2 linked regions of the Macaca fascicularis genome follow. The protein of the gene in region 1 purifies or fractionates together with the protein of each later gene. This does not show direct contact. Links are inferred from orthologs where the notes say so. Each region holds a gene or a part of one and is shown in the gene's direction. Other genes may lie near its edges.

Evidence for each region. The genes of interacting proteins can lie anywhere in the genome.
Region 2: the proteins of STX6 (region 1) and VAMP4 purify together in Homo sapiens (co-immunoprecipitation; 5 studies listed by BioGRID and IntAct, counting the BioPlex papers as one, with this or other methods). This does not show direct contact. The link is inferred for Macaca fascicularis from reciprocal best matches to the Homo sapiens genes STX6 and VAMP4.

The regions. Positions count from the first base shown.
Region 1 is NC_088375.1:38,510,335-38,514,083, reverse strand, and holds the start of STX6 (syntaxin-6), read left to right. Parts: upstream 1-1,183; 5' UTR 1,184-1,438; coding exon 1,439-1,473; intron 1,474-3,749. UniProt on the Homo sapiens protein: SNARE promoting movement of transport vesicles to target membranes. Targets endosomes to the trans-Golgi network, and may therefore function in retrograde trafficking.
Region 2 is NC_088375.1:29,326,210-29,329,858, reverse strand, and holds part of VAMP4 (vesicle-associated membrane protein 4), read left to right. Parts: intron 1-2,158; coding exon 2,159-2,259; intron 2,260-3,167; exon of another isoform or gene 3,168-3,223; coding exon 3,224-3,303; intron 3,304-3,649. UniProt on the Homo sapiens protein: Involved in the pathway that functions to remove an inhibitor (probably synaptotagmin-4) of calcium-triggered exocytosis during the maturation of secretory granules.

The DNA.
Region 1 (3,749 bases):
CCTGCCTGACACACACACACTAAGTGCTCAATGATTTTCAGCAATCAAAGTCCACAATCCTCATCCACAAACTCCACAGCATATCTAGCATATGAGTTGGCTAAGGTTCTGGGCAAAATGTTTTCTAGAATAGTCCTTGAACCACAGTGAGAGGAAGTTGTCATACCTGGCCCCTTCTTTATTCCTTGTAGGTGCGCTCTCCTGGGAGGCACCATATGCTGTATGAAAAATTACTTTACATGGTTATTTGCAGAATGTACAGCAACATAAAGTACACCCCATCTGGTGGAAAGTGCACAGAATCTGCAGTTCTGCTCTGTCCAGGCTGTGTGACTACAGGAAGTCGTGAAGCCTCTCTGAACTTATTTTCTCATCTACAAAATGGGAGAAATGGATGGCGTAGGGGCTCACGTCCGTAATCCCACCACTTTGGGAGGCAGAGGCAGGAGGGTCTTGTGAGCTCAGGTGTTCGAGGCCAGCCTAGGCAATATACTGAGAGCTCTATCTCTACAAAAAATTTAAAAATCAGCTGGGCGTGGTGGCTCTCACCTGTAGTCCCAGCTACTCGGGAGGCTGAGGCGAGAGGACCGCTTGAGCCCAGGAGGTCGAGGGTGCAGTGAGCTGTGATTGTGCCACTGCACTCCAGCCTGGGTGACAGAGAGAGTCCCTGCCCCCCAAAAAGGGGAAGGAGGGGAATAATACCTTCCCCCAAAGAATACTGAGATGATGCATACACAACTTTTTAGCACACTCTCCAACACAAAGTAAGACCCTACTTGAAGGAGCTGTGTAGCATCATAATCAGATACTATGCTTCATTTTAAGTCGAGGACCAGATAGATTTATAAATTACATACTGTCAAAATCAAGTATTAAAAGTAGAGGAAAGGTAAGAGGATTTTGCAAAACAGGTACAACTACAGTTTATCCTGAAAAGCCGACTGCCTACCTCTGAGGGAACAAGCCGCTCTTCACCTTCAAGCCTGAGGAGAGGGCGGTAGAAAGCCGCCCACCTCCTCCGCCCCGAGGGCTCCGCCTCCAGGGCGGAGGGACGCAGGCCCAGGCCCCGCCCACTGGGGGAGGGGCAGGCCCTGATCACGTGAGTGGGGTACGGAAGTCGTGCTTCAGGCGGCTTTCGTGATTGGCCGCAGCCGAGGGTCCTGGGGGTGGGGTCAGGCTCTCCGACTCGCCGGGAGGAGCCGGGACTGGAGGCTGCAGAGGGGGCCGGCTCTGGAGTCCGGGATTCGGCCAGTGGTGCTGAGCGAGTGCTGGACCAGCGGTGGTCCCGTGCACCTGGCCTGCGCGCGTGCCCGCTGCTTGGCGTCCCCCAGTCTAAGGCGCGGGCGGCTGCGGGAACAGGCCGGGTGGGCGGAAGGAGGCCGGGAGGCACGGGCGCTCTGTGCGCGGTGGAGGTGGAGGCGGCCGGGGCCGGGACGCCATGTCCATGGAGGACCCCTTCTTTGTGGTGAAAGGGTGAGTGTCGGCCGAGGGCTCCACTGGAGGAAGAGGTGGCGGTGCTGCCTGCCCGCACCTCCTCGGTCTTCTCGCAGTAGGGGGAGGGGAGGCAAGTTGGAGCTGGGGAGGGGTCACAGTGGAGACGGCTTAGTCTTGAGGGCCATGACCAAGCGTCCAGAGACGTCTCCTGCATCCCTACCTGGACGGTGAAGCCACTGTCCCCAGCCAAGCCCCTGGTGGTGGTGGGGCCTTTTTGGCCTGTGCGCTGCGGTACAACTTATTTGGGGGTCGAGGGGCTCAGCAGCTCTGCAGGTGAGAAGGAGACACGCAGGTCCTAGCTCACACTGGCCGTCTATTCGAGCATGGGACCTTGCTTCGAAGGAGCGAAAACAGCATCTGGGCAGGAAAAGGGAAATGGCCCTCCTGAGCTTTGTAGTTCGTGTTGACGGGGGTGAACTCCATTGTCCATTGAGTTTGGAGCGCTCGTCCGCAGGACTGGCGAGACCACAACAAGCCCAGAGGCGTCTGAGCACGTTTGCTGGGAGGGAGGCGGGGGCGGGGGCTGATCTGGGAGGCTGGGGAGCAGGGCACAGGAAGACAATTCAATGGGGGGAGTTTTTACTGAGTAATGTGAGGAGAGGAAAGCAGTCGTTCATACTCAGTGATGATTTGGAAGGAAAACAAAATGAAACAAGCCAAACCAAACTTTCCTCAGCTTTCTATTAGCAACCGGAATTTTCTCACAGTGCTAAAGGAAATGAGTGTTGCTTGTTAACTCCTTGATATCATCCAGGCTGTTTGACAGGTTTCTCCTATTTCTTCTGCCTTTCAGAATAGAACTGCCTTCTGTTCCCTTGTAAGCTGTCCTAACTCCATCTTGCTCGATTGTTTCTTTGGAGATAGAAACTTCAACTGCACTTTGTAATATCCACTTTGTAGCCATTAAACAAATGCAAGAAGATTAATTCTGATGTAACTTTTAGTTTCTTATTAGAAACGTGTCAGTTTTCTGTTTTAAATGTCAAACATGAAAAATCTGAAAACTGCAAAGTTCCCAAATCAGTACTGATCACAGAATGTCCCTTGCTTTTAACGAGTTGCTGCTAGCTTCCTATTTTTGTAGTGGTACAAGCTGGCTGTTGTATACTCAAGTATTGTAGAAAATTTAAATGGCATTTTAGGTGAAAGATTTTATCGATGATGCAGTAAAATACACTTATAATATTTCTTAACATTTCCCTGGAAAGGTCTTTTTCTTCACCTTACTCTAATTTAGATGGGAAAATGCTGAGTTGTAGATTTACTGGTAATATGTGACTTCCTACCTGGAAAATGTGATATTTATTAGAAGAATTGATTAGGGGTTAATTTTAAAAATGTGTTTTTTCCTTGATTGAAAGTTCTTAATGCTTAGGTTGGCAAAGGTTATCTCTGGCAGTGGAGATCAGAGATGATCAGAAATTTTTTGTTTGACTTTTTATGGAATTTGTCAAAAGCCTAAATTCTTCTGCCGTCGTGGCATTTTTTTTTTCTTGACGGTATCCAATACAGTCGTCTAATGCTTGTTCACTGATTAAATATCACTACTTTATTGGAACATTGGTTCGGAGTTTTGATTGACTTTTACATCATTTTAGCTCCTGTCTTTAAGGTTCTTGAAGGAAAAGAGATTCTCAGTACCTTCTACTGTGGAAAGGTAAAGTCACCCATGAAGGTGTATCCAGATTTTTTGGGAGTCATGCACCTGTGTTTATTAAAAGTATCAAGAATGCATTACACAGCATGGAAAAATTAAAGATGCCTAAATTATGGCCTAGGAGCTTCTAGTCTAATCTGAGAAACAAATTACCCCAAAATTAAGTAGAAATGACAGGTGGCAAATGAATGAGTGTTGAAGTGAATGCTGCAGATGATGAGTGCCCCAGGAGTTCAGAGAAAGGCATCTCCTTGGGAATTGTTAGGATTAGGAAAGCTTTTGGAGGCAATAAGTATATCTTGAATTACGTTTTGAAGATGGGCAGAATTTAGATAATCAAGCCTGTCTCTTTTATCTGGATGCTTATCAAAGAATCTTTTAATTGTTCTTCCTGCTTCTGGTCTCATTTCCTCTTTCAGCTGTCCTGGGATCTATTGGATCAGTGCTGTCCAATAGAAGTATAATGCCAGCCACGTACGTCATTTTACATTTTCTAGTAGCCACAGTAAAATAAAAAGGAACAGGTGAAATTAATTCTAATGTAATCTCTAGTACATTCAAAATATTCGACGTGTGATTAATACAAAGATTGATGAGA
Region 2 (3,649 bases), about 9.2 Mb from region 1:
TACAATTACTATCACTTTATATTTGCTTACATGCTATAAATAAGATAGAGTAATGGGGTAGAGCATGCTGTTTCACAGCTATAAGGTTAATACAGTGCATTCAATGTACGTTCGAACATATGTTCCGTAAGGGCTGGGATTACTTGTCTATTTTGTTCAATGTTACTTCCTCAGTACCTAAAACAGTACGTAGTAGGTTCTCGTTATTTGTTGAAGAAATTAATTAGTTGTGTATTTGTGCCATTGTTCTTAAATAAGATGAACACCTTCAACTCTCTACTTAGGGGACTGGGAGTTGCAACAAGATGTCTTAGAGACTTAGGGGTTCTTTCAGATCTGTTTGGACAGAAGAGAACTCTGCATGCCCAACTTGGTTGAGCTTCAGTCTTATATCCTCCAGTGGAATAATATGTGGGAAGCACAGAACTCTGGGATGCTGTGAAAAATCTTGAAGTTTATGTGTGGGTAATCAGTGGGTGTACATAATGCTTTTAACCTGGGATGGAGGTTACTGTCATCAAGCTTAGTAATTGCTACTTGAATCTGAGAGTACTTCTGAATCCACCTATGTCTAAATGGGCCTTCATTTTGTTTTTATAGCAAATTTTTTAAAGAACTAGCTCAGTGATCGGAAAGGATAGAACTCTTTCAAAATTAAACATGACCGTGCCTCACTCCTCACTTACTACATTAGTTTGGGGACTTGTGTGGGGTAGAGGGCGGAGACCATATCTGTGTATTGTAAAAAATTGTTAAAGCCCCCTACTCACTTCTTCCTTTTCCAACTAGAAACGCAATTGCATATCTTCATTTATTTAAATATTTATACATTTAATGTTTATAACCGTCATGGACCCTTAATGACAGGCTACGTTTGGAGACATGCATCATTAGGCAGTTTCATTGTGTGAACATCATAGAGTACTTACACAAACCTACAGAGTGTAGTCTACTACACACCTAGGTTATATGGTATGGCCTGTAGCTCCTAGGCTACAAAGCCATACAGCGTGTGACTGCACTCAATACTGCAGGTAATTATAACACAATGGTAAGTATCTGTGTGTCTAAACTTATCTAAACGTAGAAAACATGCAGTAAACATATGGTATTATAACTTATAGGACCACTGTTGTAAATGTGCTTTATCATTGACCAAAATGTTATGCAGCACATGTCTGCAGTAAGTAATCCAGTGCACTTTAAACAGTGTTTAGTTGTGAGGACCATGGATTTGCTTTATTTCTCCTTTTAAATATTTCATTGTTGTGACTTATTTCATAAAGTAATTTAAGATAACTTTTTGTCTTGTGGTTAGAGCCACAGAGGAGAATAAGACACTTAAAATGATTAAACATGTCCATGTTTGTGTACTCTGGAGTTAACTCCTGAATGAGAGTGGATAGCTGAAGACAGTTATTACAATTTTAAGTTTAGGTTAAGTCTTTACTGAACAGCCTGAAATTTGGTTAAAACAGACCCCCATCATCTAATATAAAGGATGAACAAACAATCGAAAAACAGAAAACAATTTTTTCCTTTTTGCTTCCTGGTGGGTTCTTCAAAATATTCCCAGGTGTCCCCAGTTATCTTATACCCTGTTTAAGAAAAATCTGATGAGCAGTGAAGAATTCTACCCATTGAGCATCAGTATCTCTTAGAATATGCCCTACATTTCCATTCTGGAAACTAGGAATGTTTCATAAGCCTTTACCGTACCTGAGCAAAAGGTATGTTAAAAAGTATGTTAACATACCTCCTTTGTTAGCCTTCGTGTATGAAATATATAGCAAAAGTAGGGTGCAGCCTCAATAGCCTGTTGAAAAGAAAACCTGATTATTTTTAGTGAAGCGGTTTAAACTCTGCACTTAATGAGCATGCTGACAGTACATTTAACTTGCTTATGGGTTGCAAGTCAGAAGCAGGGCTAAAAGTAAGCTATCTTTAAATATTACTTTAATTTATATCAAATTGTCTTTCATTATCTGAATACTGAAGCCCACAAATGGAAGAACATTGCTATAAAGTCCTAAATTTAAATTTAATAGTTGAATAATTCTCCGAGAATTTGCTGTTCTTTATTATGTCTAATGAAATTTCAGAAATTGTAAATATTCTCAAAAGAAGGATAAATAATTGTTTAACTTTTTTAAACTAGTGTTCAGAATCAAGTGGATGAAGTTATTGATGTCATGCAAGAAAATATTACAAAGGTAATTGAGAGAGGGGAGAGACTAGATGAACTACAGGACAAATCAGGTACAGATCTTCATGTATTCCTTGATATTACTAATCTGTTTGCTAGTTTTTTTCTTCTACTTATCTAGCCAGCATTTACAAATCTTGGCTTAGGAAACTGGTATTTGGTTCTTAAGTGTATGATTTTAATGGTTTAATTTTAACTCCTTTACTTTGAGTCATCTTATTGTTACATTATTTTTTAATTGTTCATTGGAGAATGAAGAATTTAAAATTTCATTGTTGAAGAGTGAAGAGTAGAGCTGTTTTTTCTTTCGCACTTTGATGTTGATGAACTTTGTGTTTCTCACGATCTCAGGGCCGAAAGACCTACTCACTTTTCAACACTTGTTTCAAACTTATCTGCTATTTTTATTTTATGTTTCATTTGGTAACTTAGTCACCTTTCTTTACTTTCAGTCATTACACCTATAACCTATATACCCATACCTGGCATGTACTTGGCACTCAAATATTGTTTGAATGGTGAATGGCTGAATACCTGATTAATCTTTGACAGACTTAAAAAAAAGACAACCTCGCTTAGTCACTTTTAAAATGTATATTGTTTTCCTTTAAAATCAGTCACTTTTGATATCTTCTAAAAAGCTAACTTCTCTACATGTAATTTTTTTTCTAGAGGTGTGCCAAGTGTTTGAATTTTTAAAGAGTATTTTCTTATTAGAATTCCTAAGCTTATTTATAAGCATTAAGGCCCTAAAAAGACTTTTCTTAATTTTATAATAAAAAAGGATTGAGCAAACTGATCTGCAAACTGTTTTTTACTTTTTGTTTTTGTTTTTGTTTTTTTTATAATGTAGAATGCCAGAGTTTGTGGGTGGAAAAAAGGGAGAATGTTGTTTTCATGCTTAAAAGGGAATAAATTTGCAGAAGTAGAAATTAATATTTTCTTATCTTTGTGTGACTAGATAAAAGAATCCTGTTATGTCGTTTAATCCTTCTCTCCATCCTCTATGTGATATAGAAAGCTTATCGGATAATGCAACAGCTTTTAGCAACAGATCCAAACAACTTCGAAGGCAAATGTGGTGGCGCGGATGCAAAGTAAGTAAATCAGAAGCTCCTGGATAGATTGGTCAGCATCTGAAGTGGTATTCAAACACATGAAGGAAAAAGGGCCTCTAGAGCATAACATCTGTGAGAACAGGGCCTATAACTGTCCTGAGACATGGTAGAAATTCAGTAAATACTTGTTAACTTAATTGCTTTTGGGATAGGGATAACTAAATAAATCAGTATGCCTAAAAGGATGTTTTCATAGATTTTTTTTCATGAGAGTAATCCACATTTTATTAATATTTGGCTACCTCTAGACTTATTAACTTGTAACAAATATACATTTTTTTCTTGAAATTTACTGTTAGTACTTTTTTGAGCAACCTCTAGCATT